Linked DNA regions of Stegostoma tigrinum. The protein of the gene in region 1 purifies or fractionates together with the protein of each later gene. This does not show direct contact. Links are inferred from orthologs where the notes say so. Each region holds a gene or a part of one and is shown in the gene's direction. Other genes may lie near its edges. The genes, in order: dnajc7, bag5, intermembrane lipid transfer protein VPS13B-like and dnaJ homolog subfamily B member 1-like.

Region 1 (8,091 bases):
AACCAGCCTTTAGAAAAAGACACTTTTTTAAAAATTAGTAATATTGGCTGTGGGATAAAGTGGTTATCCCTGCTGTCTCACAGTGCCAGGGACCCAGGTTTGATTCAGGTGACCGTGTGGAGTTTGTATATTCTCCCCGTGTCTGTGAGAGTTTCCTCCGGGTGCTATGGTTTCCTCCCACAGTCCAAAGATGTGCAGGTTAGTTGGATTGGCCATGCTAAATTCTCAATCGTGTCCATGGACGTGCAGCCTAGGGGGCTTAGCCACAGGAAAATGCAGGGTTACCGGGACAGCCTAGGGGTCTGGGCGAGATGCTCTTCAGAGGGATAGTGCGGATCCAAATGGCCTGCTTCCCCGCTGTAGGGATTCAATGTTCAAAAGGGGAGCAGTTCCCTGCCAAGAGATCTTCCACATCCGCCTGGAAAAAGGGGTGTTGAACAACCCAACTGAAACATGTCAACTCTGGCAGAGCAGCACTGCCCTTGGGCAGATCAGCCTGGATTCTGCTACTCAAGTATCTGGGGTTGGAAGTTGAATACAAAAAAAGTCTCCTGTCCCAACTGGCCAAACCACTGAGCCATAGCTGAAAATAATGCAAACCTAAAAGGCTGATGAACACTGTGTAACACATAAACAGGATGAACATAAAATAAACAGATTAATATTTCCTGCCCAGTGAGATCCCAGCCCCTTTCCTGATTGCTGATAATATTTTTACCTGCAAATAATTAGTGAGAGGTTTGAGAGGACGCAACTTCACTTGGGACTCGGTTGGGACGTCCGTGAGGGAGCAGATAAGAATATTGATATCGACTTGTTCCCGGCAGATGAACAGATTAAAGTAAACAAAGGCTTTCCTCCTCAGAACAAGCCCATCCACTGCTTCCATGCAACAAACAAGGAGACGACGCGGAGAATGCGTTACCTCAGCCCCTCAGGCTCGGCTCCACAAACAGCGCCCTCAAGAGGCCTGGAGGAGAGTTTGCCCTTTGTTTCCTCACTTTGTTTGATTGGGTAGGATTTGAAAATTACTCACAACCCAACAGATTTTATCTTTGTAAATATTGGTTCTATTTCGCCAAATGCATTTATTTCGCTGGAAAGGAATACTTTCATCTTTGTATGTTTGTCTACTTGTTCATGGGATGTGGGTGTCACTGGCTACTGGCTGCTATGTATTCCTGCCCCCGAAGGTGCCTTTCACACAGGACGTCTCAAAGGCCTTGATGGCAGATGAAGTTATTTTGGAGTGTTGTCCCTGTTGCTAAGTAGGAGATACAGCAACAAACCTGCAATTACAGCACTGTGATCGTCTTTTTTTTGCAGTTTTGATTGATTGCCAAGTGTCAGACAGGAGGGCATAACTCTCTTACTACTCTTTGCAATAGTACCATGTCTGCCAGATGGCGCAGATGCAACCTTAGTTTACTATCTGAAAGACAATACCACACCAGCTTGGATTTTTTTTTCATTTACATCTCCGGAGTTGGACTTGGGCCTATAACCTAATTCAGAGGTGAGAGTGCTACCTTCAGAACCACAGCTGCCACCTGCACAGGATTGTCACTACCCCTTTATCCCTTTGCTTATTATTTGTTAATGGGATGTGGGCATTCCCAGGCCACCAATTATTGCCCATCCCCAATTACCCTTGAAAACTGGTGCTGAATTGCGGTCTTGCACTGCTGCAGTCTGTGGAATGTAGGGCCAACCACAGTACATTTAGGAAGGGCGTTCCAGGATTCTAACTCAGTCGCACTGGAGGAACAAGTCAGGATGGTTGTAGTTTGGAGGGATCTTGTAGGTGGTAGGGTTCCCAAGTAATTAATTGTTTATACAAAGGATCATGGTTGTCAATATATATTAAAGTTACATAAAATCACATAATTGTACAAACAATTGTTCACGTGTGGAGAAAAGCTACTTGGTAAGTATATCAGCGGATGTCAGCGTGGACATCATAGCTTCAGGGTCAGGGCAAGGAAAGGTGGTTCTCAAAGCACCAAAATATGTTGACAAGGTAATTGTAAATAAGAGCAGATCTCAGCCCATCCATGAAATGGTGCACAACTGAAAGCTTGAATTAGACGTGGATCAGAAATAAGGTTGAAGTTAGATTGGAGAAGTGAAAGGTTGTCTGCAAACCCAGAACTAGCTTTAAAAAGGCAAACATTCAGAACTGAATTGCGTTGTAATTTTTAGATCTCGTACAGGTTTTGGTTCCCTCTGTCCTTCTCTGAGTCCTTTCACAAATAACAGAAAAGACCCGTTTACCCCCAAGTTGGCACAGAATGATCGTAAATTTAAATGGGAGAAAATGAAATGGCATACTGTCACATTTTTGAGATTGAATAAATTAAACTACATTCCACAGATAAAAAAAAGTAAACCAAAAAGTAATACTCAAATGTTTTACACTGATCGTACGGTCCTCCATTTTAAAGTATCTTGGACAATTTGGTTCATATGTGTCATTCATCAGTTTTACTGTTTTTTTTCCTCTGGTTATTGTTAGGGATTTACACCAAATTGTGCATAAATTCAGGTGTTTGCATACAGGTTAAGTAATTGATTAGCTCCACAATCACAACATGTGGCAGTCATTTTTGGATTGCCAGGTGAGGGTCAAATTTGAGAAGTAGATTAATGACCTCTTGATTGGAATTTGTAACTTGGTCACAGACATTAGAGAAGTGCCAGGTTTGCACGAGGCCACAGCACCCCCGAACTTGTGAGGACAAAATCTGCAAGGTTCCCACTCTTGATGATTATTCGCTGATTTAGACAATAACATGAATTTCAAATAGAATTGTAGTTAACCATGATACACTCAAATCAAATAGGCGCTTAACTTTGACTGACAAGGCACTGGAATATTGTATTGTAAGATTGACACCAGGCTGGAAAAATACCACAGAATACCTTCAGAGAAACAAACAAAGGGAGCAAGATAAAATTGATATATCACAAAAAAAGTCAAAAATACCCAATTTTGGCCTTTTTTATGTAGTTAACATAATTAAATCAAGCTGAGGTCTATACCAGAGTTACAGTCAAGAAAGCACACCAATGCCTCTACTTCTTCAGAAGGCTAAGGAAATTTGGCAGGTCTATAATGACAGTTAACAATTTTTATAGATTCACATGGAAAACATCCCATGCAATGCATCACAGCTTGGTATGGCAATTGCCCAAGACTGCAAGAAATTGCAGAGAGTTGTAAACACAGCCTTGTCCATCACACAAACCAGCCTTCCGTCCATTGCCTCTGTCTACACTTCCTGCAGTCTCAGAAAAGCAGCCAATAATAATCAAACACCCCACCTACTCCGGTTATACTCTTCAAACCTCTTCCATCAGGCAGAAGATACATAAGTTTGAAATCACATACCAACGGATTTAAGAATAGCTTCTTCCCTGCTATTATCTGACTTATGAAGGGACATCTCATATATCAGAATTGATCTTTCTCAGCACCTTCTTTTAGTTTTAACACTACATTCTGAATTCTGTACTATTACCCTGAAGCAGTTATGTAACGTATGATTTGTCTAGTTGGCAAGCAAAACCGAAACGTCAGCTTTTGTGCTCCTGAGATGCTGCTCAGCCTGCTGTGTTCATCCAGCTTCACACTTTATTATCTTGGATTCTCCAGCGTCTGCAGTTCCCATTATCACTCATCAATAATTTCCACTGTAGCTGAGTACATGGGACATACTGCTAGTGTTGCTGCCAAACATCGCATTACGTCGCTTGTGTTAGTGCCAGGAAGTGCAGTTATCATCAGTGCCACAGTACCAGGCATAGTCTCCATTACAAAAACAAAAATTGGTGGAAAAACTCAGCAAGCCTGGCAGCAGCTATAGAAAGAAAGCAGAGGTAATGTTTCAGGTCCAGTGACCCTTTTTCAGAACTATCTATGTTGGTTGTGTTGGTGCCAAACAGTGCAATTATCATCGGGTTAGTGGGCAAGCACTACTGTCTCACAGTGCCAGGCACCCATGTTCAATTCCAGCCTCGGGTAACTGTCTGTGTGGGGTTTGTACAATCTCCCCATGTCTGTGTGGGTTTCCTCCAGGCGCACTGTTTTCTCCCACATCCAAAGAATTGTCGATTAGGTGGATTGGCCATGCTGAATTCTAGTGCCCAGGATGCATAAATTAGGCGCGTTAACCATGGTAAATGCAGGGTTACAGGGATAATGTAGGTGAGGCGAAACCGGGTGAGATGTTCTCCAGAGAGTCGGTGTGGACTTGTTGGGTCGAATTGGCTGTTTCCACATTGTAGGGATTCTATACAATCCCAAGGTGACAGGCACAGTCAATCTGGTAGTGATTGAGATAACAAAGTGTGGAACTGGATGAACACAGCAGGCCAAGCAGCATCAGAGGAGCACAAAAGCTGACGGCTGAAATGTCACCCTTTGTGCTCCTAAGATGCTGCTTGGCCCGCTGTGTTCATCCAGCTCCACACTTTATCTCGGATTATCCAGCATCTACAGTTCCCATTATCTCTGTTAGGGATGGTACCAGGTAAATAATCAGCATCAGGGTCACAGAGCCAGGCTGATGGTACCAGGGCCAGCCAGTGGAGGTCCTCCATCTGTTTGGGAGGTCTGCAGTAGTTTATGCCGCAGGGATGCTCTTGCCTCCCGCCCGGCGGGTGGAAGCCTCGTTGTTCCGGAAGCCGGTCGGTACCGGGGTCCGGGTGTTGGGAAATGGCGGCCGGAGACTGCGATGTGACGATGGCCCCGGAGCCGAACGGAGCGGGAGAGGCCGATCTGGAGAGGTAACCGGGAGGGGAAGGATACTGCTGGATCCCCAGGCGGATGAAATAACAAACAAGGGCTGGGCCTTGCCTGGAAGCGGGGCTGGGTGATTGAAGTCCCTGAGGGTGAGATATAGGCCCCGGGGGAGAAGGCGGTTAACCCTGTGCCCGAGGAACACAGGATCCTGGAGAAGGACAGGCCCAGGCTGCGGTCACAAGTCCCATCGCGTTATCTGCGTTAAACATGTCTCAGGCGTTTGTCAGTTTTATATAAACGGCTGAAAAATAATTGATCATTTCTCAACCTTTGATGCTACAACTATCCTTTCCTCCTGTTGGTGCCTTCGTTTATACTCGGCACATTCATATTTCTTCAAGATAGTTATTATTTCTAATTTACAGGCTTTGGAATTTTAGACAAGATTATTTTGTGTCCAGGAAGCAGCTCTCCCCAGAATCCACGTGGGGCTTTGTGCCAATAATGAAATGGCAACCTTCCTTCCCCCACCCCCCCCCCACCACCATAAATACTAGAACCTTCCTCTTAGAACACTTACGAAGATGTAGTCTGCGTTTTACCAGATATCAATTTGTTCTCACTCCATTTTATTTAATTCCCAAATGGTCTGATTTATCAAACATTGGTTTGCTCAGCCAAGTGTAATAATGTGGGTTAGAAGACCCAGGCTCTGCAGGAGCCAGAGATTTCTCAGTTTAGGGATAACTTCGTTCATTTTTGTTCCGAGACATCTTTCCCCACCCTTCCCCTTAAATCTAAAACTTCATCAGAGAATAGATATGCAATGAGCAGTGTATTAATTCACCAGTATTTGTTTGAAGTCAAGTCTGAATACAGTACCAGGATTTTGTGCCCAGAAATGTTGTTGGAAATATATTGGGGTTGTAAAGTATTCTTGGCTGTAGAAGGTCAGGGATGACTTTATTGATTTGTTTCAGATGATAAAATAGATGTGATTGATTGAGAAATCTACCACCTGTAGTAAGGACGGGTTTGAGGGACAGAATGGCCTACTCCTATGCCAGCATTTCTTTGAACTGATTATTGATGCGCCCTTGTTTCTTGTACTTTTTATCCCACACTCCAAAAAGAAATTACATGCCCTGAATGTAAGTGGGCATTAATTAAGCCAGAAATAATAGTGATGTTGAAAGATCGAGCACATCTGCCTTTTTACAACTCTCATTTCTGAAATATTTGCAAACTCCCGAGTAATGCCTGTTTGTGAAATGAGTATTTGTGTATATTTACATGAGGTAGAAAGTTCTTTTAGAGATCTAGCCCGAGAAGTTGTGGACTGAATGGTTGCCACTGTATTGGAAAATTATACGATGATTCCTTTGCTATTTCACCCATGATTGTACTAATTTCAACGTACAATTAACATTTTGATCTATTCCGTTACATGAAACCTGTATTGAATTAGCTTTGATTCTTCCCAGGCATACATCCATGGAAGTCCATCACCTTGAAATCGTTTGACTTTTATTCATCAGTCTGCAGAATAAAGATCCTGAAAAGAGAGCCCATTAGACTTGGCACACTTGTATTGGCCCTCTGAAAGCTTAACACTTCTACTCTTTCCTAGTACCTTTACTTAAGTTTTTTTCTTCAATATTTTTAATCCTTCTTTAAAGATGGTAATAGATTCTTTACAGCCCTGTTTTCTTTTGAGTATCCTTTGTGCTATTCAAAGGAAGAAACAAATCTTATCCTTTTGTTCTTCTGATTAGCTTAAATTTACACAGCTGCTAGTTTCCAATTCAGAAACCGAGGAAATTAACTTTCTCCAAATTTGCTTCATGTCATAGAATCACAGTCATACAGCACAGAAACTGCCCTTCTGGCTCATATCCCTCCAAATGTTTCCTGTTCATAAATTATCTAAATGTCTTTTAAACGTTATGTGTATGGGATTGTCTGATGGCTTTTAGGTCAGGAGAGTTGTGGTAAGGGCTATGTATCGAGGTAGAGAATAGCATGTGAATGTTTATAACTGTGCTTAGAAACAACCCTATTCGGAAGCTCACCTGCAGACTTGTTAAGTAATTCTTTCTCGGACCCCGACTTGCATATGTCTGGGAAACGTTATGTGTGACTGAATTGGAATTCAAAATGGACGTCTTGTGGAGGAGTATTTGAGCAGAGACAAATAGATCACATCAGTCTTCCAAAAGCCTGACAGTGGGGTGCTATTACTCAGCAGTTCACAATTAAACATTAAACTCATTACATAAAGGGGTTATGTCTGAATTTCAGAAGATTTTGATTGAGTTTGTCCGTTGAATGCTTCATCGTTGCAGTTTTCATTTATATAACACTTGTTCTTCCAGACAACTGTGTGGAAACTGTTAATTATAGAACGGTTACAGATGACATAAAAATGTTATATTTGTCATCAGAAGTCTTGGGTGACAAAATTTTCTTTCTGAAAGTGCGCTCCAACTCTTATGATAAAATATTACAGGTGTACTTCATGCTGAAAATTTCTGAGCTAATTTGGTGTTGGGGTAGGTTAGTGTAGAGCTGGAACACTATTAGAACATAGAACAATACAGCACAGTACAGGCCCTTTGGCCCACGATGTTGTGCCGAACTTTTACCTGAAACCTAAGGTCTATCTAACTTCCACCCCTACCTTATACTATCATCCATATGCCTATCTAATAGCAGCTTAAATGCCCCTAATGAGACTGGCCCCACTACCCTCTCCAGCCATGCATTCCACGCCCCTACCACACACTGAGTAAAGAAAAGTACTTCACTGCCTCCCTAAGGGGTAAACAATGCAGTAGGAGAAATATTATAAATTGCAAAATAAGAAGGCGTCTCAATATTTTGCAAGTTTCAATCAGATTCCCCCTGATCCTTCTAAACTCTATGGAGTACAGAACCAGAGTCCTCAACTCTCCTCATGTGACAGATTCCTCATCCCTGGGATCTTACATGTCAATCCTCTCTGGGCTCCTCTGAAACATTCTACCTTAGATTCAGGGCTTGAAATTGCTCACAATATTTCAAATATGGTCTAACCAGAGCCTTATACAGCCTCAGCAGGACATCTCTGCTCTTGTATTCTAACCCTCTTGAAGTGAATGCTAACATTGCATTTGCCTTCCTGACTGAACCTGCCTGTTAACCTGAAGAGAATCCTGAACTTGGGAGTACCAGAAAAACTCTGGTTTGATCCACTTGCAGTAGTGTTGTTTAGAACTGAATGTTGGACTGGTGTTAGCATTTTTTACCGCTTATCATGTTGCAGATCATGCCAGTCAGATCTGTTACATGGGTAAGTTTGAATTTAT
Region 2 (7,439 bases), on another chromosome or scaffold:
ACTACAAAGTTCATTTCTTTCATAAAGACCTGAGCAAAAAACTCATTTAGGGCTTCCCCTATCTCCTCAGACTCCACACACAAGTTCCCTATGCTATCCCTGATCGGCCCTACTCTTTCTTTGACCATTCTCTTATTCCTCACATAAGTGTAAAATGCCTTTGTGTTCTCCCTAAACCGTTCTGCCAAGCCTTTCTCGTGCCCCCTCCTGGCTCTCCTCAGACCATTTTTGAGATCTTTCGTCGCCTGCCTGTAATCCTCTAGAGCTGAGCTTGACCCTAGCTTCCTCCACCTTATGTAAGCTACCTTCTTCCTTTTGATGAGAAGCTCCACCGCTCTCGTCATCCAAGGTTCCTTTATCTTACCCCTTCCTGCCTGTCTCAGAGGTACATATTTATTCATCACTCGCAACAACTGTTCCTTATACAGTCTCCACATGTCTATAGTGCCTTTACCATGGAACAATTGCTCCCAGTCCATGCTTCCTAACTCATGTCTAATCGCATCATAGTTTCCTCTTCCCCAATTAAATATCCTCCCATTTTGCCTAATCCTCTCCTTCTCCATAGCTATGTAGAATGTGAGGCAGTTATGGTCACTATCACCAAAATGCTCTCCCACCACAAGATCTGATACCTGCCCCGGCTCGTTTCCGAGCACCAAGTCTAGAATGGCCTCTCCCCTCGTCGGCCTGTCAACGTACTGAGTTAGGAAACCCTCCTGAACACACCTTACAAAAACAGCTCCATTCAAATCTTCTGCTCGAAGGAGGTTCCAATCAATATTGGGAAAGTTAAAGTCACCCATTACAACAACCCTACTACGTCCGCACTTTTCCAAAATCTGCCGACCTATGCTTTCTTCAATCTCCCTGCTGCTATCAATTTCTTTCAGTGTTTTTTTAATAATGCAGAGGATGGTGGGGGTGTCTGGAATTCGCTGCCTGGGTAAGTGGTGGAGGCAGAAAATGAAAACTCTTCAACATATCTGAATCTGCACTTTAAATGCTGTAAGCTGCAGGGCTACGGCCTGTGGTCAGGAATAAAGAATTAGAAAGATCATCTGGGTATCTTTGGGACAGACTGAACAAGATGTGCCAAACGGTCCCATTCTGTGCTGTATCATTTCTATGGTTCTGTTTTGACTGGGTGATAAATATTAGCCAGGACAAAAGGATAACTTCTTTGTAATTCTACATAGTATGAGGGGATTTTTTTTGTCCATGTGAGAGAACATGCAGTGTGAAAAAACTTGAAAAATCTGTGGATGCTGTAAATCAGAAACGAAAACAGAAGTTGCTGGAAAATCTCAGCAGGTCTGGCAGCATCTGTGAAGATAAATCAGAGTTAACGTTTCGGATCCAGTGACACTTCCTTGGAGCAGTTGGTGGCGAGGAAAATGTCAGTTTATGTGCTGAAGATCGGGTGGAATGAGTGGGTTGGGAGTGAACGATAGGTGGGAATAGTGTCCAAAGACAGAGAAGAACAGTTGGACAGACAAAGGAGTGGATAATGATCTGGCTGGGAGGGTGAATAGCTGTTAATGGAGACGGTTATTGGCTAACAATAGATAGTGTGTAATGGCAGAATATGTGAAAACAAGGCCTGGTGTGTAAAGTAGGGGTCTAAGTCATGGAAGAGTTCAGGCCCTACAATTATTGAACTTGATATTGAGTCCGGAGGGCTGCAGGGTCCCCAAGCAGGAAATGAGACGTTGTTCTTCCAGCTTGCGCTGAGCTTCACTGGAACTGCAGCAAGCTAGAGACAGAGATGATGGCCAGGGAACAGAATGGTGTGTGAAAATGGCAGGCAGAGTCTTTTTTTGTGAGCAGAATGCAGGTTCTGTGAAGTGGTCACCCAGTCTATGCTTTGTTTCCCCAATGTACAGGAGACCACATCATGAGCAGTGAATGTAGTAGACTAGATTGTGCAAAGTTCAGGTAAAGTGTTGCTTCACCTATAAAGTATGTCTGATCCCTTGGATACCGAGGAGGGTGGAGTTAAATAAGGAAGTCTAGCGTACTGGCCTTGATATTACAGAGGCTGAGCGCCTGCTCTTAGATAGATCCTCCTATTGTACCTGGATCATGACCTCACCATGACACATCAGACCATTGTATCTCTCACGGTCAGTGACCTCAGTTCAACCGTCACTGCCTCGAAGCTGATAGTTCCCCCAGCTCCACACAGCTCGCTTCTACCTCCTTCCGAAAATCCATAAACAGGACTGCCTGGGCAGACCCATCGTTTCAGCCTGCTCCTGTCCCACAGACCTCATCTCTTACTATCATGATTCAGTCTTTTCTCCCCGTTCCAGTCCCTGCCCATATATGCCTGAGATTCCTCTGACACTCTATTCCGGTTTCAGAATTTCCAGTTTGCAGGCTCCAGCCACTACCTTTTAACTCTTTACACATCCATCACCCCCCCACACACAGAATGGTCTCAGGGTTCTCCACTTCTTCCTGAATGGAGGCCTGAGCTGGCCCCACCCTCCTTCACACCCTCAACAACTTCATTTTTAACTTCTCTCATTTGCTTCAGGTCAGAGGGATGGCCATGGGTATCCACATCAGCCCAGTTACTCCTGTCTCTTAGTTGGGAACATGGAACATTTCTTGTTCCAGTCCTATTCCACTCCCACCCGCAACTCTTTCTCCAATATATTGATGATATTATCGGTACTAATTCCATCTCTCATCAAGAATTGGAAAAATTCTTTGATTTTGCTTCTAATTTCCACCCCGGCCTAACTTTCACCTGGTCTATCTCTGGCTCTTCCCTTCGTCAGCATCTGTTTCCATTTCTGGGGACAGACTAACCACTACATATCCACTATAAACCCACCGACTCCCACAGTTACGTGGATTATACATCCTCGCAATTCTGCCTTCTCTAAAGATTTCAGTGCATTCTCCCAGTTCCTCAAACTCGGTCGCATATGCTCCTATTGGGCCAACTTCAACAAGGGAGCTTCTGAAATGTCCACCTTCTTCCTCAACGATTCCCCAACACCATTGTCAACAAGGCCCTCAACCAGATTCGACCCATCTCTCACACATCTGCCCTCAGCCCCTCTCTTCCCTCCCACAACATTGATAGGGTCTCTGGATTAACAGTCCAGCAATAATACCACTAGGCCATTTTACAATTTTACAGGTCTGATTGAAAAAGAGATTCACAAATTACGTCTAATGAGGGGAAGGCATGAAGCTTTTCCTGAAAAGAACTTCTACAGCACTGGAATTTTTGATGTATGTACTTCATAGCAAAGTAGCAATCAATCTTTGATTGCAGTCAGTCTCAATTAGTCTCAAAATAGCTATCGGATGAAAGCAGCTACAACTCAAACAGCTCAATATCCAAGACAAGACAGCCCACTTGACCATCCCATTCACCACTTTAAACATTCATTCTTTATGGCAAACTGCATGACACGGGTGGCTGTAATGTGTACCATGCAATACACTGCACTAACTCTCAGAAGGTTTTTCCGCCAGCGTGTGCTAAATATTTTAAGATACTGCATCCAAAACGCAAAGGCTACAATTGCGGCATTTAACATGACAGCTTGAGATGGCTGATATACGTGAACGATTCTGCCAACGGATGAAAATTTTCCTCCATTGTCCACTTCTAACAATAATATTCAGCATCCACGCTGAGTTATCTCTTAATAAATCAAACCTTCGTTAAAGCAGTTTGCGGGGAAAAATCAAGCACAGTACAATATTATGTTTATATCCTACGTTAGGTAGATCAGGACAGTTCCCGAGAGGGTAATAAGTTTCAAATAACATCGACAGTCACCCTAGAGTTGCTTCACATTTACTAGAAACAGGAAAGTTGACATATACCTCGGTACCATTGTCACTTTGATCAGCAGCACTGCTCGAAACTGGACAGCACCTTCCTCCCAACACCACGTATTTGTCCCCTCCAGTTTCCTTTACCCGGGTACTATGAAATATTCTTGTTCTCGATAATTTTCCAACAAACGAAAAGACAGTTAGGCACCTACAGCTCATCACTGACAACACACAACCATCCGCCCTGTCCGAAGCTGTTCCAGTTTACGGCAGTAAGGAACCGACATCCTGTCGTGAAAGCGATCCGGCAGTTGGCAGGGTTTGGCTCTACGCATGTGCGTGGTCGAAAACTCTTCGAGCTATCGCTTTCCAGAGTTTCCGGGCGGGCAGTTGGCAGGGTTTGGCTCTACGCATGTGCGTGGTCGAAAACTCTTCGAGCTATCGCTTTCCAGAGTTTCCGGGCGGGCAGTTGGCAGGGTTTGGCTCTACGCATGTGCGTGGTCGAAAACTCTTCGAGCTATCGCTTTCCAGAGTTTCCGGGCGGGCAGTTGGTCGGTGAGTGGAAGGATCCAGAAGGAGCTTCTGGTGGGTTTGACAGGGAGTGAGCTCGTCTCCCTGTCCCACTTCGGTGTGTTCAATCGGGCGCGCACGCGGTTTGGGAGCGAGTCTCGTGCATGCTGTCTTTCGGTATGACCGGTGCGGCCTGGCCCGTATGACAGAGCCTAACGTGGAGTTTATCTCTCGAAGCCTGTGCCAACAGGCCGTCCGGCTTTTGCTGCGCTAACGCCTCATGAGTTTACTCAGAGATACTAGGATCTGCCGATGACGGAGCCTAAGATAACAAGGTGTGGAGCTGGTGAACACAGCAGGCCACACAGCATCAGAGAAGGGTCCAGACCCGAAACGTCAGCTTTCCTGCTGCTCTGATGCCGCATGGCCTCTTGTGTTCATCCAGCTCCACACCTTGTTGCTTCATAAATTACATCGAGAAGTGAAGACAAACTGGCTGCATCGCAGTCAGTGATACGTTAATCATCCTAGTTCCCGTGTAATCTGAAGGCACGATATGTCCAAGGGAGATTTTCTCTAGCACCACCCCGCAATCCAGCATACCATATCAACATGATCTGTGATGCTTAGTATCCTTCCTTTTTTTATTTTTCAGTCACAGAATCCCTACAGTGTGGGAAGAGGCTCTTCGGCTCGTGGAGTCTGCACCAACCTTCCGAAGGGCAAGATAACAAAGTGTGGAGCTGGATGAACACAGCAGGCCAAGCAGCGTCTTAGGAGCACAAAAGCTGACGTTTCAGGTCTAGGCCCGAAACGTCAGCCTTTGTGCTCCTAAGACGCTGCTTGGCCTGCTGTGTTCATCCAGCTCCATACTTTGTTTATCTCAGATTCTCCAGCATGTGCTGTTCCCATTATCTTCCAAAGGGCGTCCAACCCTATTGCCGTAACTCCCCATTTATGGCTAATCCACCTAGCCTGCACATCTTGGGAGAAAACCCATGCAAATGCGGGGAGAATGTGCAAACTCCACGTAGACAGTCACTCGCGTTTGGAATTAACTTGGGCCCTGGCTTAGTGAGGCAAAAGTACTATAGTGAGCCGCCCTATTCAGGAATTATCTGATCGAGCCCTTTTTCATGACGCACTATATGTGTAAGCCTGTAATTTGTTCCCTAAATGAATAGTCTTTTGGGAATAAGAATGACCTGCCATCCGACCAATTCTACCCTTGCGTGATTTATATGCAGGATCTGAAGTTACATCGAAGTTAAGAGCAGGATTTGACTCGGCTCTGCCATTCAATATCATCACGGTTGATTATTGAACTCAATACCTTAGGCCTGCCCATTCCTCCTCCTCCTTCCTTCGCGCCTGCTTCCCCACCCGCAAATATGCCTTAATCACGAGTCACAAGAGCTATATGTAGGTACATATAGTTGTATACTTTGAAAACAATGTTTTGGTCTCAACTAGTTTCTGTGGTCATGAAATCCACAGGTGTACCATTGTTCAGGTGTAGAAATTTCTGCAGAACTGAGTTCAAAAGGTTTACCTCTCGTCCTTAAATTATGACCTCTGGTCTGAACTCCCCCACATTTGGGAACATTCTTCCTCCATCCAACCTGTCTAGCCCTGTTAGAATTTTGTAGGTTTCTACGAGATTTCCCCCCCTCATTCATCTAAACTCCAGTTAATACAATTCTAACTGTGTCAATCTCTCCTCATACATCAGTTCTACCATCCCAGGATTCAATTTGATAAGCCTTCACTGAACTTACTCAATAGCAAGACACCCTTCCCCAGGTAAGGAGACCAAAACTTCAGTCATATTCCATGTGTGGCCTGAATAATTGCAGCAAGGGCATCCTCATTCCTGTATTCAAATACTCAAGCTTTGAAGGCCAACGTACGGTTTGCTTTCTTTGCTGCTGCACCTGTGTGCTTATTTTCAATGACTGGTGCATGATGACACCAAGTCTCATTGAACATTCTCCTCTTAATTTACAACCATTCAAATAATGATGTATTATCAAAGTGGTACTTTCTTATCAGTCCAGTTGAAATAACATATTTGCATGAAAACTTGAAACTTCAATATTTGAAGCAAATTTCCTGGTTACCACCACACTAGCCTATGCTTCTTTAAGGAACTAGAGCCAGCTCTTTGATAATTACTTCGCTACATAATTTCATGGAATAGAATCATAGAACCCCTACAGTGTTGAAGCGGGTCATTCATCCCATCAAGTTTGCACCAAACCTCCAAAGAATATCATGTCCAACCCAACACCCCCAACCCCCATCCCTACATTTCCCATGGCGAATGCACCTAGCCTGCACACTGTGGGTAATTTAGCATGGCCAATTCCCCTAACCTGCACACCTTTGGAGTGTGGGAGGTAGTGGAGGAAACCCACCTGCCCACTCCCATGCACAGATGGGAAAATGTACAAACTCCACACGGCCTGAGAGTGGAATCGAACCCAGCTCCCTGGCACTGTGAGGCAACAGTCCTAGCCACTAACCCCTATTGAGCGTGGCTGACACCGTATGGCTTTTCTCATCCATATATCTCTATGTAATATTTGAGAAAATGCAGGGAAGGTTTCACTTTGCATACATTTTGTAAACACGCAGTGAGGTACAGTTTGTTAGCAGCTATATTTTAGGCAACTGATCACAATGATCATCACCAGAATTCTAGTTAAAAGAATTAACAAAACAGTCCAAAGTTAATTGGTGGACAAACTAAGACAACAGGTGAATAACTGTAATTTAAAAATGATGTCTGAGTACAAATATCTACAAAACCTGACCTCCTTTTATCAATTTTCCAATACACAGTACATCAATATGTTCATTTTCAGGCTGGAAACAGCCCATGCAAACTTGCCATGCAAAAACTACATCCTCCCACTCCTGGTGGTACTGCTGAGACTGAATTTTGCATCTTTCAGCTCACTAGAAATATTTAGTCCATTTTGCCTGTTCTCTGAAAACACTCGTTCCAATTAGTCTCACCTTCTACTCTTTTCTGAGAGTCTTATAATACTTCTCCTTTTTAAACAGAGATCTAATAGTACCACCAAACCAGCATTCATTAATTTTTCAGGCACACATTC
Region 3 (7,742 bases), on another chromosome or scaffold:
GGCAGTAAATCTTCTCACATATGCAAAAAATAAGGCTGAATTACTTCCTGCAATCTTCAGCCAGAAGTGTGAATAGGATTATTCATCTGAGCCTCCTTCAGTGGTCCCCAGCATTACGGGTACCAGTCTTCAACAAATTCAATTCACTACACATGATATCAAGTAACGGTTGAAGACATTTCAGTTTCCAATGGCTATGGGCCCTGACAATATTTTGGCAATACTATTGAAACTGGTGCACCAGGATTTGTCAGTCTTCCAGCTAAGCTGATCCAGTATAGTTACAACATTGGCATCTGACAATGGGGAAAATTGCCCAGCTATGTCCCGTACGCAAACCTAATCCAGCCAATTCCTGCCTATTGGTCTACCTGCGAACATCAGTAAAGTGATGGAAGGTGTTATCAACGATGCTGTCAAGTAGCATCTGTTCAGCAATAATCTGCTCAGGTGATGCCCAGGATGGGTTCTGCCAGGGTCGCTCAACTCCTGATCTTGGATCAAATGGGGATAAAAGCTGAATTTCAGAGGTGAGGTAGGAGTAACTGTCCTCAGCATTAAGGCCTCATTCAACTGAACGTGGCATCAAGGAGCCCTAACAAAACCGGAATCAATGGGTAGCGGGGAGCAAAGTCTCTGTTGGTTGGATTCATGCCTGGCACATAGGAGGATGGTTGCGGTTGTTAGAAGCTGGTCAACTCAGTTCCAGCACATCTCTGCAGGAGTTCTTGAGGGTGGTGTCTACAGCCCAAACATCTTCAGCTACTTCATCAATGACCTTCCCTTCATCATAAGGTCTGAAGTGGTGATGTTTACCGATGATTGCACAATGTTCAGCACTTTTCATGACATCTCAGACACTGAGGCTGTCACGTTTAAATGGACAATATCCCAGCTTGGGCTGACAAGTGACATTTGTGCTCACAAATGCCAGGCAATAGCTATCTCCACTAAGAGACAATCTAGCCACAGTCCCTTGATATTCAATGATGTTACCATCATTGAATTCTCACTGTCAACATCCAACTAGAAACACACTGGATTTACAACATAAACACTGGCTACAAGAGCAGGTCAGAGCCTAGGAATACAATGGTGAGTAACTCACCCGCTGATTCCTCCAAGCCGTCCACCATCTGCAAGGCACAAGTCAGGAATGTGACGAAATACTCCCAACTTGCCTGAATGGGCATGGCTCCAACCACACTTTCGCACCATATCCACAAGCATCTACTCCCTCCACCTCCGACGTTCAGAGGCATTGTATGCAATTTACAAGACGCACAGCAAAAATTCACCAAATATCCTTAGATAGCTCTGTCCATAGCCACAGCCATTTCCACTCAGAAAGACATGGTGAGCAGATACATGGAAACACTACCGCCTGCAAGTTCCCTTCCAAGCCACTCACCATCCTGACTTGAAAATATATCTTTGTTCCTTCACTGTCACTGCGCCAAAATTCAGGATATCCCTCCATAAGGGCATTGTGGGTCAACCTTTGGCACATGAACTGCAGCAGTTCAAGAAGGCAGCTCGCCACCACCTTGTGAACAGCAACTAGGGATGGCCAATAAATGCTGGCCAGTAGGGGATGCCCTCATCCCAAGGGTAAATAAAAAAACATGATAAGTCTGGGAATATTGGGCTTCATTTCCAGCACACTACCACAGTGAGTTGTGACGCTGTCTGCCATTAGTGCAACTGCCCTAGACGGACATTCTTTCCCCAACCCCCTCCACAACTATCTTATATCTTCTTTCCAGTAAAACAACCTTTACATCTCCCTGACCCGCTTTAACCTTTAGGAATGCAGTATTTGTCTGAGTTTCCGAGTTCTGAGGAAGGGTCACTGGACCCAAAATAGTAACTCTGATTTTTTTTCTTCACAGGTGCTGCCAGACCTGCTGAGCTTTCCCAACAACTTCTGGTTTCACTCCTGTATTTGTCATCAGGCTGAATCAGAAAAAGTCTCATGACTCCTTCTCCATTTTACCCGAGATTGAAAAGACACAGTCTCCAAACAACAATCTTCTAAGTCTCATTTATAACAATGCCATAAACAGCCTCCCTTAACAATCCAATTCCAAGACCATGACTGAAAGATTGTCAAAACTGCAGCAGAAAGTGAGCAGTGAGCATTAAGGCAAAGATTGAAAACAGGGCTAACAAAACAGTATCTAAACGAGCAAATGAGCAACAACTTTTTTTTGTAAATCACCATTTTAATTTCACATTCCCAACAGAAAGCAATACAACATTTAGATAATACAAGCGGCTACACTTCAAAAGTGCTGGATTACTGTAACACATTAAGACACATCTTGAGGTAATGGAAGGTGTCAATAAGTGTCTTCCATATTTCAGTAAAACCTATCAATACACAAATGCTTGTACGGATAATTTTTATTTTGTTTCCCATTTTGTAACGTTTTGAGCTCTGCTGTTCAACTTCACATGCTTCAGTTCAATTAATTCGAAATTTATGTTGTTTTTCAACAGAATGGTTCATTTCTCCTTCTATTAAAAGATTTCAAACCTTTGTTCTACTTATTTATTTAGCAAATTCAAATTGTGAGTACAAAGTGATTGTTTCCTCAGTTGCTGAGTTGAAGGCTACTTAATATGTAGAGAGGACACTCATTTATATACAGCATTATTGTCTCTTGTCATGGGTATAAGAGGTGTGCAGGGGCCCTGGCTTGTGCTGGACCTTTTTGGAAAGGAATCAACAGGTGCATTCTCTGAAGTAATCACTACACCAGAATACAACTGTCATCAAGCAGCACTCTTCGTTCAAACAGCATAAAAATCATTTTTTGTCTTCAACTGGCATTCTTACAAATTGTTCCGATGACCTCAAGATGAAAGGCTTTGATAAGGTGTGTCCTTTTTTCCAATAGTCAGGTTCTGTACATCTAAACATCTATTTGCATTTTATCTAACTCATTACCCAACTCATAAGTTAAAATTGCATATCCCTTTCACACATGCAGACAAACGATCACAGACAATGTTTGTTGGTCGCTCATTACAATCAACATCAATTGCAATTCTTGCTTCTTCCTTGCAGAATATCGAGAAGAGAATTCAGAGATGGTTAAACTCATGACAGATCTAGACATAGCCAATTAAATTGGTCTAAGGTCTGACAACCAAACAACATCAACTTAAGGTGTTTGATGAAATGGCCAGGCAAGATGCAGAAAATTCCTTCTTTTCAATGCTGCCAGTTGTTATGATCCAGAACATATTTTCAGAGTATGATGCAGTTCTCCAATACTGAAATATCTCCAATCAAAGTCACAAAGTATATCCAATATGATGTGACAAAAGTAGACTATTCCTTCCTTGTGCTTCTCGCTCATCTGTGTTTTGTTTTAATGCAGCTGACCACACCATTCTCTTCAAAATCATTGCTGTTCATCTAGGTCAAATTGCTCTAACGTGATTTATGCCCTCAAAAATTTGGGCATATCGAAAAGGTGGGAAGATGAGGAGGACGGGAGGAAGATTGATGAAGGCAGGGGTGGACGAAGGTGTCAGTGGAGGTACAAAATTGGGAGTGGGCGAAGTGTGCGTCAGGAGGGTTGGCTAAGTGGTGGGAAGAGAGCAGAACAGAGCAGGCAGCGGGAAGTGACAGAGTAGGTTGTGTATCGAGTAACTGCTGAGGAGGGGTCCGTGGGGGTCGGTTGGTGGGGGGGGGGGGGGGGAGTGTGTTGTGGAGGCAAGAGTGGGTCGGAGGCTGGGAGGTGAAGGGGATGGAGTACTGGGAGGGTTTGTGAAGGAACGGCGTGAGGGTGGACAGGGGAAGGAAAAGGACAGAAGGGAGAGCGGAGAATCGCAGAGAGGGAGCAAAGTGCTTCAGCAGTGGCGAAAAGATACGATCCCCCTGGAGGCTACTGCTGTCACAGGAGGCCCCGGGCTTCAGTGCGATCAGTCGCTGAGGTGCGGGGCTGGTTGAAAGCAAATAAAAATTAATCAGGCAGAAAGTTGTCCCGACCACAACACTTACTTGACTATTTGTTCCATCTTTGTTTCCCTGGGTGCTGGATCGCTCATGAGCGTCCAATGAGCTCTCGGTTTAATCCTCCGCCTCCTGCACCTCTCACACACCCTCCTTCAGGCCAACCAGTGCGCCTGCGCCACATCAGTCCCGCCCGCCACCAAACCGACGGAACCGTTCGGTTGACGGAAATGACGTTAGCACGATGGGTCAAGGGTTTGGGCTGGAGTCAGAATCCGAATCCACCCGGGGAGAAAACTAGGCGCGTTGCACCTCGGGATACTGGAAGAGTCTGTCGTCGGTCATCCTGTGAGTGTGGGAGAGTTGCGTTGGTGATGGGAGGAGGGAGTGGGGGGTTGACTGTAGTGTCGAGGTGATGCTGATGCTGATGATGGTAATGGTGGTGGAAGCGGCTGTTTAATGTCTGTTGGGGAGTTAGCACCAATCCTCGATCAGCCGTTGACCTGCCGGCTGCCTGCTCGATGTCAGGCTGAATTTGTGTGATCTCTGCCGGAGGTGGGTCTCTTGAGAGCAGCTGAAGAGTTTTTGTGGCCTTGCCCCATCCTGTTACCTGACAGCAAGGGGACTGACTTTGCTTCCTCTGTTTGCTCATGGGGCTGACTCACCACGCTGTGTTGTACTTTCTGGTGTAGTTACCATGTTAAACTAACATAGCTTGATCATTCGCATTCCATGTTGGCAGGTAACAAGTTCCTGTGGTGTGTAATTTGTACAGGTCGCCGATAGTTTGACAGATCTACGTGTGATTAAACAGCAGATAAACTCACGCGCTTTAAAAGCATTCCCTTTGCCTCAGTTAAAGTCAGATTACTTTCCTGCTATATTTTAAAATATAAGACGAACATTTATTGTTTGACGTTTGCCAGGAGGGCTTTGGAAGAGAAGCTGAGATCTGGTTCTGTTAATTTTTCGGAAGTTTCCTGACATTGCCATCTTCCATTCTCTCTCTTTCCATTTTTTTTTCATTCTAGAAATTTTCAAATATCTGCGGATGCTTAAGCAATATATGAAGCTCTTTAGTATGACATTCTGTGTTCTGAAAGCCTACTTGATCTGTAGTGAAATTGTGATCAGTTGAGTTTGGACAGTGCAAAATTCCACTTGTGTGAAGTTAGCCATTCCTGTTAGTAAGCTGGCACAACCAGAGAATGATCCCTGTGATAAACTGAAGGCCTTTATTGGTTCCTTTGGATTAGCTGAATTTGTACAAACTTTAATCTGACTACACCAACCAATTGGAGCAGAGTTAGGCCATACTAGAGTGCACAATCATGAAATCATATACCATCATTTGACAACAAAAAATATTCTTGTGAAAGACTATTCAGACTTTTGAAGTGCGAGAGAGAAAATGAAGTTAGTGCAGCAGGTGAAAAACCATAGCATGAAGTGAAAAGCAGGCATTAACAATTGGGCGATTGTACTCTTGAGTTTGTCAACAATTCTGAAGCATAAGGCAGACCTCTTCATAGAATCATAGGATCCTGACAGTGTGGGAACAGGTCATTCAGCCCATCGAGTGCACACTGGCCCTCTGAAGAGCATGCCACCCAGACGCACTCTCTACCCTATTTCAGCATTTCCCACACTAGACACTATGGGCCATTTAGCATGGCCAATCCACCTAACCCACACATCTTTGGACTGTGGGAGGAAACCAAAGCACCCAGTGGAAACCCACGCAGACAGGGGGAGAATGTGCAAACTCCACACAGATAACTGCCCGAGGTTGGAGTCAAACATGGGCCCCTGGCTCTGTGAGGCAGCAGTGCTAACCACTGAGCCACTGTGCTGCTTGAAACAGTTTGAAAAGCAGGCATCCTCTCCTGAGAGGAAGAGAATGATTGCCTAACCCGGTGATGAGATAAAAACCGAAAGAATTGTGGATGGTAAACATCAGGAACAAAAACAAAGTTGCTGGAAAAGCTCAGCAGGTCTGGCAACATCTGTGAAGGAAAAAACGGTTAACGTTTAGGGTCCGGTGACTCCTCTTCAGAACTCAGATGATGATGAAGCTTTGCTAAAGTTGTTCAAGGTAGCTCAAGCAGAACTCACTCCCGTTTCTGGTCCAGAGGGGAGTCATTGTGTTTTTATTTGTGTTTTTCTGAGATTGAGCATGTGTTTGACATCGTCAAAAGTTAGGTTGCCTAGAGGCCTCTTTTGCTATCTTGCAATTCCACTTCACACAAATTTGTCGGTAGCCCCATAATGATTTGACTCTGATTGAGGATCACTGTATTTGAAAGTGACAGATTACAAAACTCACAAAATGAACATATATCTTTTGAAATATGCACCCTTGATCTGGAAGAACAGTAAATGAACTAGTTCTTGTCAATGTCACTCTTGTTCAGTTAGGGGTGGTTTGTTTATTTGTAAGTGCTTGTTGATTTTGAGATTTGAGATTCTATGTGTAAAGCAACTTGGTATAAGATGGGTGCAATAAAATCTACTTGTGGGAAGTAGTAGGAAATCCTTGTTGCTGAATAGCATTTCAGTATATGGGGCATTGGTTGAGGTTGAACATATGTTGCATTCTGGATTGTATAATGTTGAGATGAAGTGTTGGCTGGCGTGCCAATCTGCAGTGCCATATTGTTAATTGATACATACTGCCTGGAAATTGGAATTTCTTTCACAGGTGGATTGGAGTGTAACATGACGCAGTAGATTTCTGTGTATGAGACGTGAGTTGATAACTATTGATGGAGTTGAAAAGTAACTCTGAAGGTAACATGAGGTGGGCAGGACAATGGCTCAGTGGATAGCATTGTTGCTTTACAGCGTCAGGGACCCAAGTTTGTTTGCAGCATTGGGGAACTGTATGTGTGAAGTTTGCACATTCTCCAGTGTCTGCGTTTCGTCTGGGTCCTCTGGTTTCCTCCCAAGGTCCAGAGATGCGTGCATTAGGTGGATTGGCCATGCTAAATTGCCCAAGTATGTGCAGCTAGGCTGATTAACCATGGAGAATACAGGGATACTGATATATGGTTGGGGGGGGGTAGTGCTGGATCTGGGTGGAATGCTCTTCGAAGTGTTGGTGTAGGTTCAATGGGCCAAATGGCTGCTTTCCCGTTGGAGGTATTCTATGTGATGGAAATGAGGATGGTCACAGAAAACAAATTACTCAACACTAATAGTCTCTGAAGAGTGATTCGGAGCAGGACACCTGGTTGTTAGTTTGGCTAGGGAGAGGGGTGAAACAGCCTCTGTGTTCCACCTGACCAGCAGAAGAAACAGTTTCCTAGGCATCAAGCGGTATATCTGTATTTCTTAACTACCGTGGCTGTCATCAATTAATTCAGCATGTTTAACTTGTGTCTTTTGGCCTGTATGGCTTATTCTTATAACTACTTTAATGCTGAGATATCAAGGAGCTGAATAGAAAAATAAGGTTAAATGTTGGGTTGTAACAGTAGAAATGCCATATTGGCTTTGTACTATACAGCTGGGGATTCATTAGGATACAGAGGGTTTGGCAGAATTGTTTTAACAGCTCCCTAAAATCTATTCACTATTTCACTATTCAGTGGGTATGACATTAATCTGCTTATTTCTCATTTGAAGGGGTAGAACAAAGGTTGTAGACAAATTCTATGGATGTGATAGTAGTTATATGAGAAGAAGTTGAGTAGAATGTGCCTATGTTTTGTAAAATTTAAAAGAATAGAAGTGAACTCATTGAAATTAGTTCTTCAAAGCTTAACTGGATAGA
Region 4 (7,652 bases), on another chromosome or scaffold:
AATGAGGTCCTACAAGCAGAATTTAGGGTGTTAGGAGCCAGGTTAAAAAGTAGGACCTCAGAGGTAGTAATCTCAGGATTGCTACCAGTGCCACCTGCTAGTCAGAGTAGAAATGAAAGAATAGGCAGGTTGAGGGAAGGGTGAAATTGGTAACTAAATATCCCCAGATGTAGATGCTTTGGGCAGAATAGAAGGGGAAGTAAAAGGGGTGGAGGAGTTGCATTACTGGTCAAAGAGGGTATCACAGCTGTACTGAAGAAGGGTACTATGGAGGACTCGAGCAGTGAGGTAATACGGGCAGAACTCAGAAACAGGAAGGGTGTGGTAACAATGTTGGGGCTGTGCTACAGGCCTCCCAACAGTAAGCGTGAGATAGAGGTACAAATATGTGGACAGATTATGGAAAGGTATGGGAGTAACAGGGTGGTGGCGATGGGAGATTTTAATTTTCCCAACATTGACTGGGATTCACTTATTGTTAGGGGTTTAGATGGAGCAGAATTTGTAAGGAGCATCCAGGAGGGTTTTATGGAGTAGTATTATGTAGTCCAACTCGGGAAGGGGCCATACTGGATCTGGTGTTGGGGAATGAGCCGAGCCAGTTCGTTGAAGTTTCAGTAGGGGATTACTTTGGGAATAGTGATCACAATTCCATAAGTTTTAGAATACTCATGGACAAAGACGGGAGTGGTCCTAAAGCAAGAGTGCTAAATTGGGGAGATGAAGACTGTGGCAAAATTCAACAGAAGCTGGGGAGTGTGGATTGGGAGTAGCTGTTTGAAGGTAAATCCACACTTGATATGTGGGAGGCTTTTAAAGAGAGGCTGATTAGAGTGCAGGCAGACATGTCCCTGTGAAAATGAGGGATAGAAAGGGCAAGATTAGGGAACCATGGATGACAGGTGAACTCATGAGACTAGCAAAGAGGAAAAAGGAAGCATACATAAGGTCTAGGTGACTGAAAGCAGACAAAGCTTTGGAAGCACATTGGGAAAGTAGGACCAATCTGAAATGAGGAATTAAGAGGGTGAAAAGTGGTCATGAAATATCTTTAGTGAACAGGGTTAAGGAAAATCCCAAAGCCTTTTATTTGTACATAAGGAGCAAGAGGGTAACTAGAGAAAGGGTTGGCCCATTTAAGGACAAAGGAGGGAAGTTTTGTGAGGAGTCAGAGAAAATGAGTGAGATTCTTAATGAGCACTTTGCGTTGGTATTCACCGAGGAGAGGGACGTGACAGATGTTGAGGTTAGGAATAGATGTTTGATTACTCTAGGTCAAGTTGGCAAAAGGAGGGGGAAGTGTTGGGTATTCTGAAAGGCATTAGGGTTGGCAAGTCCCCAGTTCCAGATGGAATCTATCCCAGGTTACTGAGGAAAGCAACAGAGGAAGTAGCTGGGGCCTTAACAGATATCGTTACAGCACCCTTGAGCACGGGTGAGATCCCGGAGGACTGAAGAATTATTAATGTTGTCCCCTTGTTTAAGAAGGGTAGCAAGGATAATTCAGGTAATTATAGACCGGTGAGCCTGACGTTAGTGGTGGGGAAGCTGAGGGATGGGATCTATTTACGTCTGGAAGAAAATGGGCTTACAAGTGATAGGCAGCATGGTTTTGCACAGGGAAGGTCATGTCTTACCAGCTTGATAGAATTCTTTGAGGAAGTGGCAAATTTGATAGATGGTGGAAGGGCTGTGGATGTCATATACATGGACTTCAATAAGGCGTATGATAAGGTCCCCCATGGTAGGCTGATGGAGAAAGTGGAGTTGCATGGCATCCAGGATGTATTAGTAGATAGAAAACTGGCTGGGCAACAGGAGACAGAGAGTTGTAGTGGAAGGGAGTCTCTCAAAATGGAGAATGGTGACCAGTGGTGTTCCACAGGAATCTGTGTTGGGAGCACTGTTGTTTGTAATATACATAAATGATCTGGAGGAAGGTGTAGGTGGTCTAATTAGCAAGTTTGCAGATGACACTAAGATTGGTGGAGTAGCAGATAGTGAAGGGGATTATTGGAGAATGCAGCAGAATATAGATAGTTTGGAGAGTTGGGCAGAGAAATGGCAGATGGAGTTCAATCCAGACAAATACGAGGTGATGCATTTTGGAAGATCCACTTCAAGAGCAAACTATATGTAAATGGAAAAGCCTTGGGGAAAATTGATGCATAGAGAGATCTGGGTGTTTAGGTCCATTGTACCCTGAAGATGGCAACGCAGGTCGATAGAGTGGTCAAGAAGGCATACGGCATGCTTTCATTCATTGGACTGGGCATTGAGTACAATAGTTGGCAGGTCATGTTACAATTGTATAGGACTTTGGTTCAACCACATTTGAAATACTGCTTACAGTTGTGGTCGCCACATTACCAAGAGGATGTGGATGCTTTGGAGAGGGTGCAGAGGAGGTTCACCAGGATGTTGCCTGGTATGGAGGGTGCTAGCTATGAAGAGAGGTTGAGTAGATTGGGATTATTTTCTTTAGAAAGACAGAGGTTGAGGGGAGACCTGATTGAGGTCTACAAAATCATGAGGGGTATAGACAAGATGGATAGCAAGAAGCTTTTTCCGAGAGTAGGGGACTCAGTTACTAGGGGTTACGATTTCAAGGTGAGAGGAGGAAAGGTTTAGGGGAGATATGCCTGGAAAGTTCTTTACGCAGAGGGTGGAGGGTGCCTGGAACGTGTTGCCAGTGGAGGTGTAGAGGCAGGCATGACCGCGTCATTTAAGATGTATCTAGACAGATACATGAATAGGCAGGGAAGAGAGGGATAAAGGTCCTTGGAAAATAGGTGACAGGTTTAGATAGAGGATCTGGATCGGCGCAGGCTTGGAGGGCCGAAGGGCCTGTTCCTGTGTTGTAATTTTCTTTGTTCTTTATCTTTGTTCTTGTTCTTTGTGCTTGCTCTGGAAGATCCAACAAGTTTCAGGAAGACCAAAGAGAATCTTTCTCTGAGTTGCTGGTCCTCCAGGTGCAGTTGATATTTGTCTTGGTGTGTGTCCCCGGGAACAGACCGTCGAGCACACATACCTGTGTCATGGAGCTGCTCGGAATGAACCTCGACAAAAATCACTGCATCTCTCTCTGTATTTCGTTCGCAAAGGCACATTCCAGAAGGAGGTGTGTGCCAGTCTCTAACCCCACCTTGCAGCCACTTTGAGGGCAGCGTGCGGTGGTGCAGATTAACCGGGCGTACAAGAAGGATCTCACAGGCTGGAAAGTCTTCGGCTTTCAATTTAGTAAACACTCAGGTTTCCTATCCTTCCTTAAATAAAGCAGACTGGAGTCGTGGGCTCAACACTCTCTTACCAGTGATGTACAAGTAACCCTCCCTGTCATTGCTGCCCTTTCTCTTGCCCGGGGAGAAGTTGAATTTGGGGACCAAGAAGCAATTCCACATCTCGGAGATGAATGGATGAATGAAAACCGAAATAGCCACGGATGTTTTAAATCAGAACAAAAGTTGCCGGAAAAGCTCAGTAGGTCTGGCTGGATCTGTGAAGAGAAATCAGAGCTCACGTTTCAGATCCAGTGACCCATCCTCAGGAACTGACTGAATGAATGAGTGAATGCTGTTGCTGCGAGCATGTACCACAGCCCGGCCATCGCCTCGAGGGGGCGGGGTTTGGCGTAGAGGGGCGGGGTTTGAGTGTGGAGGGGCGGGGTTTGGTCTGTAGGGGCGGTGTTTATCGGGACGGCGTGGTTTTGGAGTGGAGGGGCGGAGAATGAGTGTAGCGGGGCGGGGTTTGAGGGTGGAGGGGCGGGGTTTGGTCTGGAGGGGCTGTGTTTATCGGGACGGCGTGGTTTGGAGTGGAGGGGCGGAGAATGTGTAGCGGGGCGGGGTTTGAGGGTGGAGGGGCGGGGTTTGTCCGGAGGGCAGGGTTTGGGATGGAGAGGCGGGATTTTAGGGTAGAGGGGCGGGGTTTGAGCGTGGAGGGGCGGGCTTTGGTGGAGATGCGGTGCGTTTGGTGTGGAGGGGCGGATTTGTCGGGGGTGCGGGTTTTGAAGGTGGAGGGGCGGGGTTTGTTGGGAATGGGGTGGGTTTGATGTGGAGAGGGTGGTCTTTGAAGTGGACGGGGTGTGTTTTGGTGTGGAGGGGGTGGGTTTGGTGTGGTGAGGCGGGGTTTGGAGGGGCGGGGGTATCGGTTTTGTCGGGGGGGTGGTGTGCGGAGGCCGGAGGCGGGGCTTGGACTGGTGGGTGGGATTTGGCGGTTGGGATCGGCGGGGCTGGGTGAGAAGGGGGCGGATCTGGTGAGGAGAGGAAGTGACGATGTATGGAATGTTCCTGAAAGTTCGAGCAATTTGTTGAAAGTGTTGCGGAGAGACGGTGAGAGCGGCGCGGCCTGGTGAGTGTTGCTGAGGGGTTCCGAATGTATCCAGGGTGAGGGGCATGTCCATTAGGTACATTGGCGGCCGAATGTATCCTTTCCCTTTTGTGTCAGGGCCCGGATACATTGTTTCCCCTTGCTACTTTGGGGAGAAAACGTTGTGGGTTGGGCAAGGTTTGAAGCTGTTGGAGTTAGGAAGGGGTGTGGACAGGACAGGGGCAGCCCCTGTGCCTGTTATTTGATAAATTGCCCCTCCCTGCCCTGTGTTGTGACAGACAGCCCGTGGGGGGGGGGGAAGCGGGTAGGGGGTAACGAGACTGCTCTTTCCCCATCATCGTACATTTTTCCAAAGGTTAGGGGAATGACAGGCCCTCCAGCCCAAGGTACTTTCAACGTAAACCTGCAAGGGTTAAGAACAGCCGTCAACTTCTACATCTCTCTCTTTCACCTTTCTTCCCCCGCTCCTCCCGTGTTCTGGTTTAATTGTCTTTCAAAGGGTGTATCCCATCCTGGCAGTAAACCAGAACTAAAGGGTCTTTACAATTCTACCCCCCCCCCACCCATAACAAAATTCCTTTTCTCAGCAACTCATAGGGTAACCTGACACTGACTGATCAGCTGTCAGATCCCAGCTGACATGGGGATTACAGCCAAAAGCAGAAATTGCAGGAGAAATCTTCTCAAAACTCGATTGCATGAGTAACTCAGTGGGTCTGGCAGTGTCTGTGGAGAGAGAGAGAGAAATGCAGTTAACATTTTGAGTCCTGCTGACCTTTCAGAACTTGAAAAGGGTAACCACACCAGCTAGCTGGTGAAACCAGGCCAGGACTTATTTGGAATGGGAGATCTCCTTCAAAAAGGTGCCATTTGCATTGCGTTTCTGAGCTTATGATTTCAGTTGGTCTTTTGTCAGGGGAGGGGAGGGGAGCTAAAATCTTCAAATGGTTGTGGTTTTGCTTTCTCTCCATTGCTTGCTAATTTCTTTGGGCTCTGTAATCTTTGCAACCCCATTGACAGAGTTGTGAAGAACTCCCTGAAATCAGTACAGTAGGCCTAAGGGCCTCTTTCTGTGCTGTGTAACTTTATAACTCTTTTCTCTTCTATTGCAGTTGTGTATCTGGAATGTTAGCAAAAACTTAAGGAGGTTATCTTTTCTGCCATCAGAAAAGATGATGAAGTGGGGGGTGTGGTTGACTTGTGAAAGGAGAGAAGGGTGACCTATACAGAGTCGGGGAAAGGACTTGTCAGAATTGTCAGGTGTGCAATTGATTTGTCATATGTACCAAAGTTTAGTGAAAAGCTTTGTTTACCAGCGGTTCAGGCAGATCATAGTAAGCGAGGATGTACAGGTCAAAAAGACATAGACAGGCAAACAGGATGTGTGCTAGGTGTGATCAATGTTAGTAAGATCAGTGTTGTTTGATGCTAGACAGTCTGTTTATCAGTCTGATAACAGCTGGCAAGCAGCTCTTCCTGAATCTGCTGGCCCTTGTGTTTGGACTTCTGTATCTTCTGCCTGATGGAAGAGCTTGTAGGAGGTCATTACTGGGTTGCAGTGGGTCTTTGATGTTGGCAGCCTTTCTGCGGCTGTGAGCTGTGTAAATGGAGTCCATGGATGAATGGTCATGAGGCAGTGAGAAGGTCCATTGATCCTTGAGTAATGCAGGACAATATCTTGAGGGGCATGGATAGGGTGAGTGGGTCAAGGCCTTTTCACTAGGGTTGGGGAGTCCAAAACTAGAGTTGGGAAGGGGGCTGGGGGTAGGATTTAAAAGGGACCTTAGGGGAAAGACTTGCCTGCAGAGCGAGGTGCCTATGTGGAATGAACTGCCTGGGAAGTGGTGGAGGCTTGTACAATTACAACATTGAAAAGACATCTGGATGGGTACTTGAATTGGAAGGGTTTAGTAGCTTGTGGGCCAAATGCTGTGTGATGGATCTGGATTGAGTTTGGATATCTGTTTGGCACAGGAGGGTTCGTGACTGCTTGTAAATGTTAATGACTCTGACTCACTGACAATGTTGGTGGCAACACAGGTAGGTTTGGAATTAAAAACCTAAACTAATGGTGGTTGGTGGGTAAGGGAAGACTTGTCTTTATAGCACCTTTCATGACCAGCATGGCTGTGGTATGTACTAGACGACTGAGATGTTTTTTACAGTACCAAAGTAGGTCGGGGGAAAGATACTGACCTGGGATATTGGGGAGGAACACCCTGACTTTATTTTCAAAATGCTGATTTTGTTTTTCCTCAAAAGACAGCTGGGAAGTAACATATTGAACCATGTGATGTGAACTTGAAGAAGAACCAAGGAAGGATTTTTTAACACAGCAATGGTTGAGATAGCTGGTCCAATTAGCAAAGAGCTCATGGGATCCAAGACAAAGTGGCACATTAGATCCAGAATTAGCTAAGAGCCAAAACGTAGAAGGAAGTTTCTCTGACTGGAAGTCTGTTTCCGGGGTGGGGGGAGCTGGCAACAAGTGAGGAAGATGGCCATAAATGGTGGGAAAACATCAGTGTACTGCTCACGTGGGCAGGGTAGTGGCAAATGGAATTAGTGCAGAAAAGAGAAGTAATGCACTTGGCGAGGGCCAGCAAGGCAAAGGATTACACTGTAAATAGCACTGTGGAAAGTATTGAAGTTCAGAGCGACCTTGATGTGCATGTCCATAGATCTGTGACAGTAGTAAGGCAGGTAGGTAAGTTGGTTAAGGTGTTTAGGATACTTGCCTTTATTAGCCAAGGTGTAGAATACTGCAGTAAGGAGGTTATGTATAAAACACTAGGTAGGCCACAATTGGAGTAATGTGTGCAGTTCTGATCGACACACTATGGAGAGAATGTGATTTTTCACTAGGGGAGATTTACCAGGATGCTGCCTGGACTGAAGGGTCTGAAATGTGAGGAAAGATTGGATAATCTCGGCTTGTCAGGTGACCCAGTAGAGATGTAAGATTGAGGGGTACAGATAGGGTGGGTAGGAAGACATTTTTCCCATTCGATGACATCAGTAACCAGGGAAGCATTTTTTTAAAGGTAAAAGGTCAAAGGCTAAAAGGGATATATTTTTCACCCAAATGGTAGTGGGAGTTTGGAACTCATTCCTGGAAAAGGTTGGTTGGGTCAGAAACTCTAATAACATTGAAACCATATTTAGATATTCATTTGCAGAGCTAAGGTCAAGAATTGGAAACTGGGGTTAGTGTAGTCAGATCATTGGAGTGGAAGCAATGGGCCATGTAGACTCTGCCTGTGCCGTAAACATCTAGGATCCTGAGTAAATGGCTTGCTCAATTGGTCAGGTGAGATCATGATATT

What was found.
Region 2: the proteins of dnajc7 (region 1) and bag5 purify together in Homo sapiens (affinity purification with mass spectrometry; 4 studies listed by BioGRID and IntAct, with this or other methods). This does not show direct contact. The link is inferred for Stegostoma tigrinum from reciprocal best matches to the Homo sapiens genes DNAJC7 and BAG5.
Region 3: the proteins of dnajc7 (region 1) and intermembrane lipid transfer protein VPS13B-like purify together in Homo sapiens (co-immunoprecipitation; 3 studies listed by BioGRID and IntAct, counting the BioPlex papers as one, with this or other methods). This does not show direct contact. The link is inferred for Stegostoma tigrinum from reciprocal best matches to the Homo sapiens genes DNAJC7 and VPS13B.
Region 4: the proteins of dnajc7 (region 1) and dnaJ homolog subfamily B member 1-like purify together in Homo sapiens (affinity purification with mass spectrometry; 3 studies listed by BioGRID and IntAct, with this or other methods). This does not show direct contact. The link is inferred for Stegostoma tigrinum from reciprocal best matches to the Homo sapiens genes DNAJC7 and DNAJB1.

What each region holds. Positions count from the first base shown.
Region 1 is NC_081384.1:12,732,031-12,740,121, reverse strand, and holds the start of dnajc7 (dnaJ homolog subfamily C member 7), read left to right. Parts: upstream 1-4,654; 5' UTR 4,655-4,717; coding exon 4,718-4,788; intron 4,789-8,091. UniProt on the Homo sapiens protein: Acts as a co-chaperone regulating the molecular chaperones HSP70 and HSP90 in folding of steroid receptors, such as the glucocorticoid receptor and the progesterone receptor.
Region 2 is NC_081363.1:40,506,324-40,513,762, reverse strand, and holds the start of bag5 (BAG family molecular chaperone regulator 5), read left to right. Parts: upstream 1-4,362; 5' UTR 4,363-4,392; exon of another isoform or gene 4,393-4,435; intron 4,436-6,049; coding exon of another isoform or gene 6,050-6,120; intron 6,121-7,439. Other genes in the region: cytochrome c oxidase assembly factor 8, read right to left, coding at 3,856-4,026. UniProt on the Homo sapiens protein: Co-chaperone for HSP/HSP70 proteins. It functions as a nucleotide-exchange factor promoting the release of ADP from HSP70, thereby activating HSP70-mediated protein refolding.
Region 3 is NC_081358.1:121,819,856-121,827,597, reverse strand, and holds the start of intermembrane lipid transfer protein VPS13B-like, read left to right. Parts: upstream 1-4,228; 5' UTR 4,229-4,315; intron 4,316-4,372; exon of another isoform or gene 4,373-4,522; intron 4,523-7,742. UniProt on the Homo sapiens protein: Mediates the transfer of lipids between membranes at organelle contact sites. Binds phosphatidylinositol 3-phosphate. Functions as a tethering factor in the slow endocytic recycling pathway, to assist traffic between early and recycling endosomes.
Region 4 is NC_081388.1:21,035,345-21,042,996, reverse strand, and holds the start of dnaJ homolog subfamily B member 1-like, read left to right. Parts: upstream 1-4,238; 5' UTR 4,239-4,347; intron 4,348-7,652. Other genes in the region: c35h19orf67 (UPF0575 protein C19orf67 homolog), read right to left, coding at 3,311-3,401. UniProt on the Homo sapiens protein: Interacts with HSP70 and can stimulate its ATPase activity. Stimulates the association between HSC70 and HIP. Negatively regulates heat shock-induced HSF1 transcriptional activity during the attenuation and recovery phase period of the heat shock response.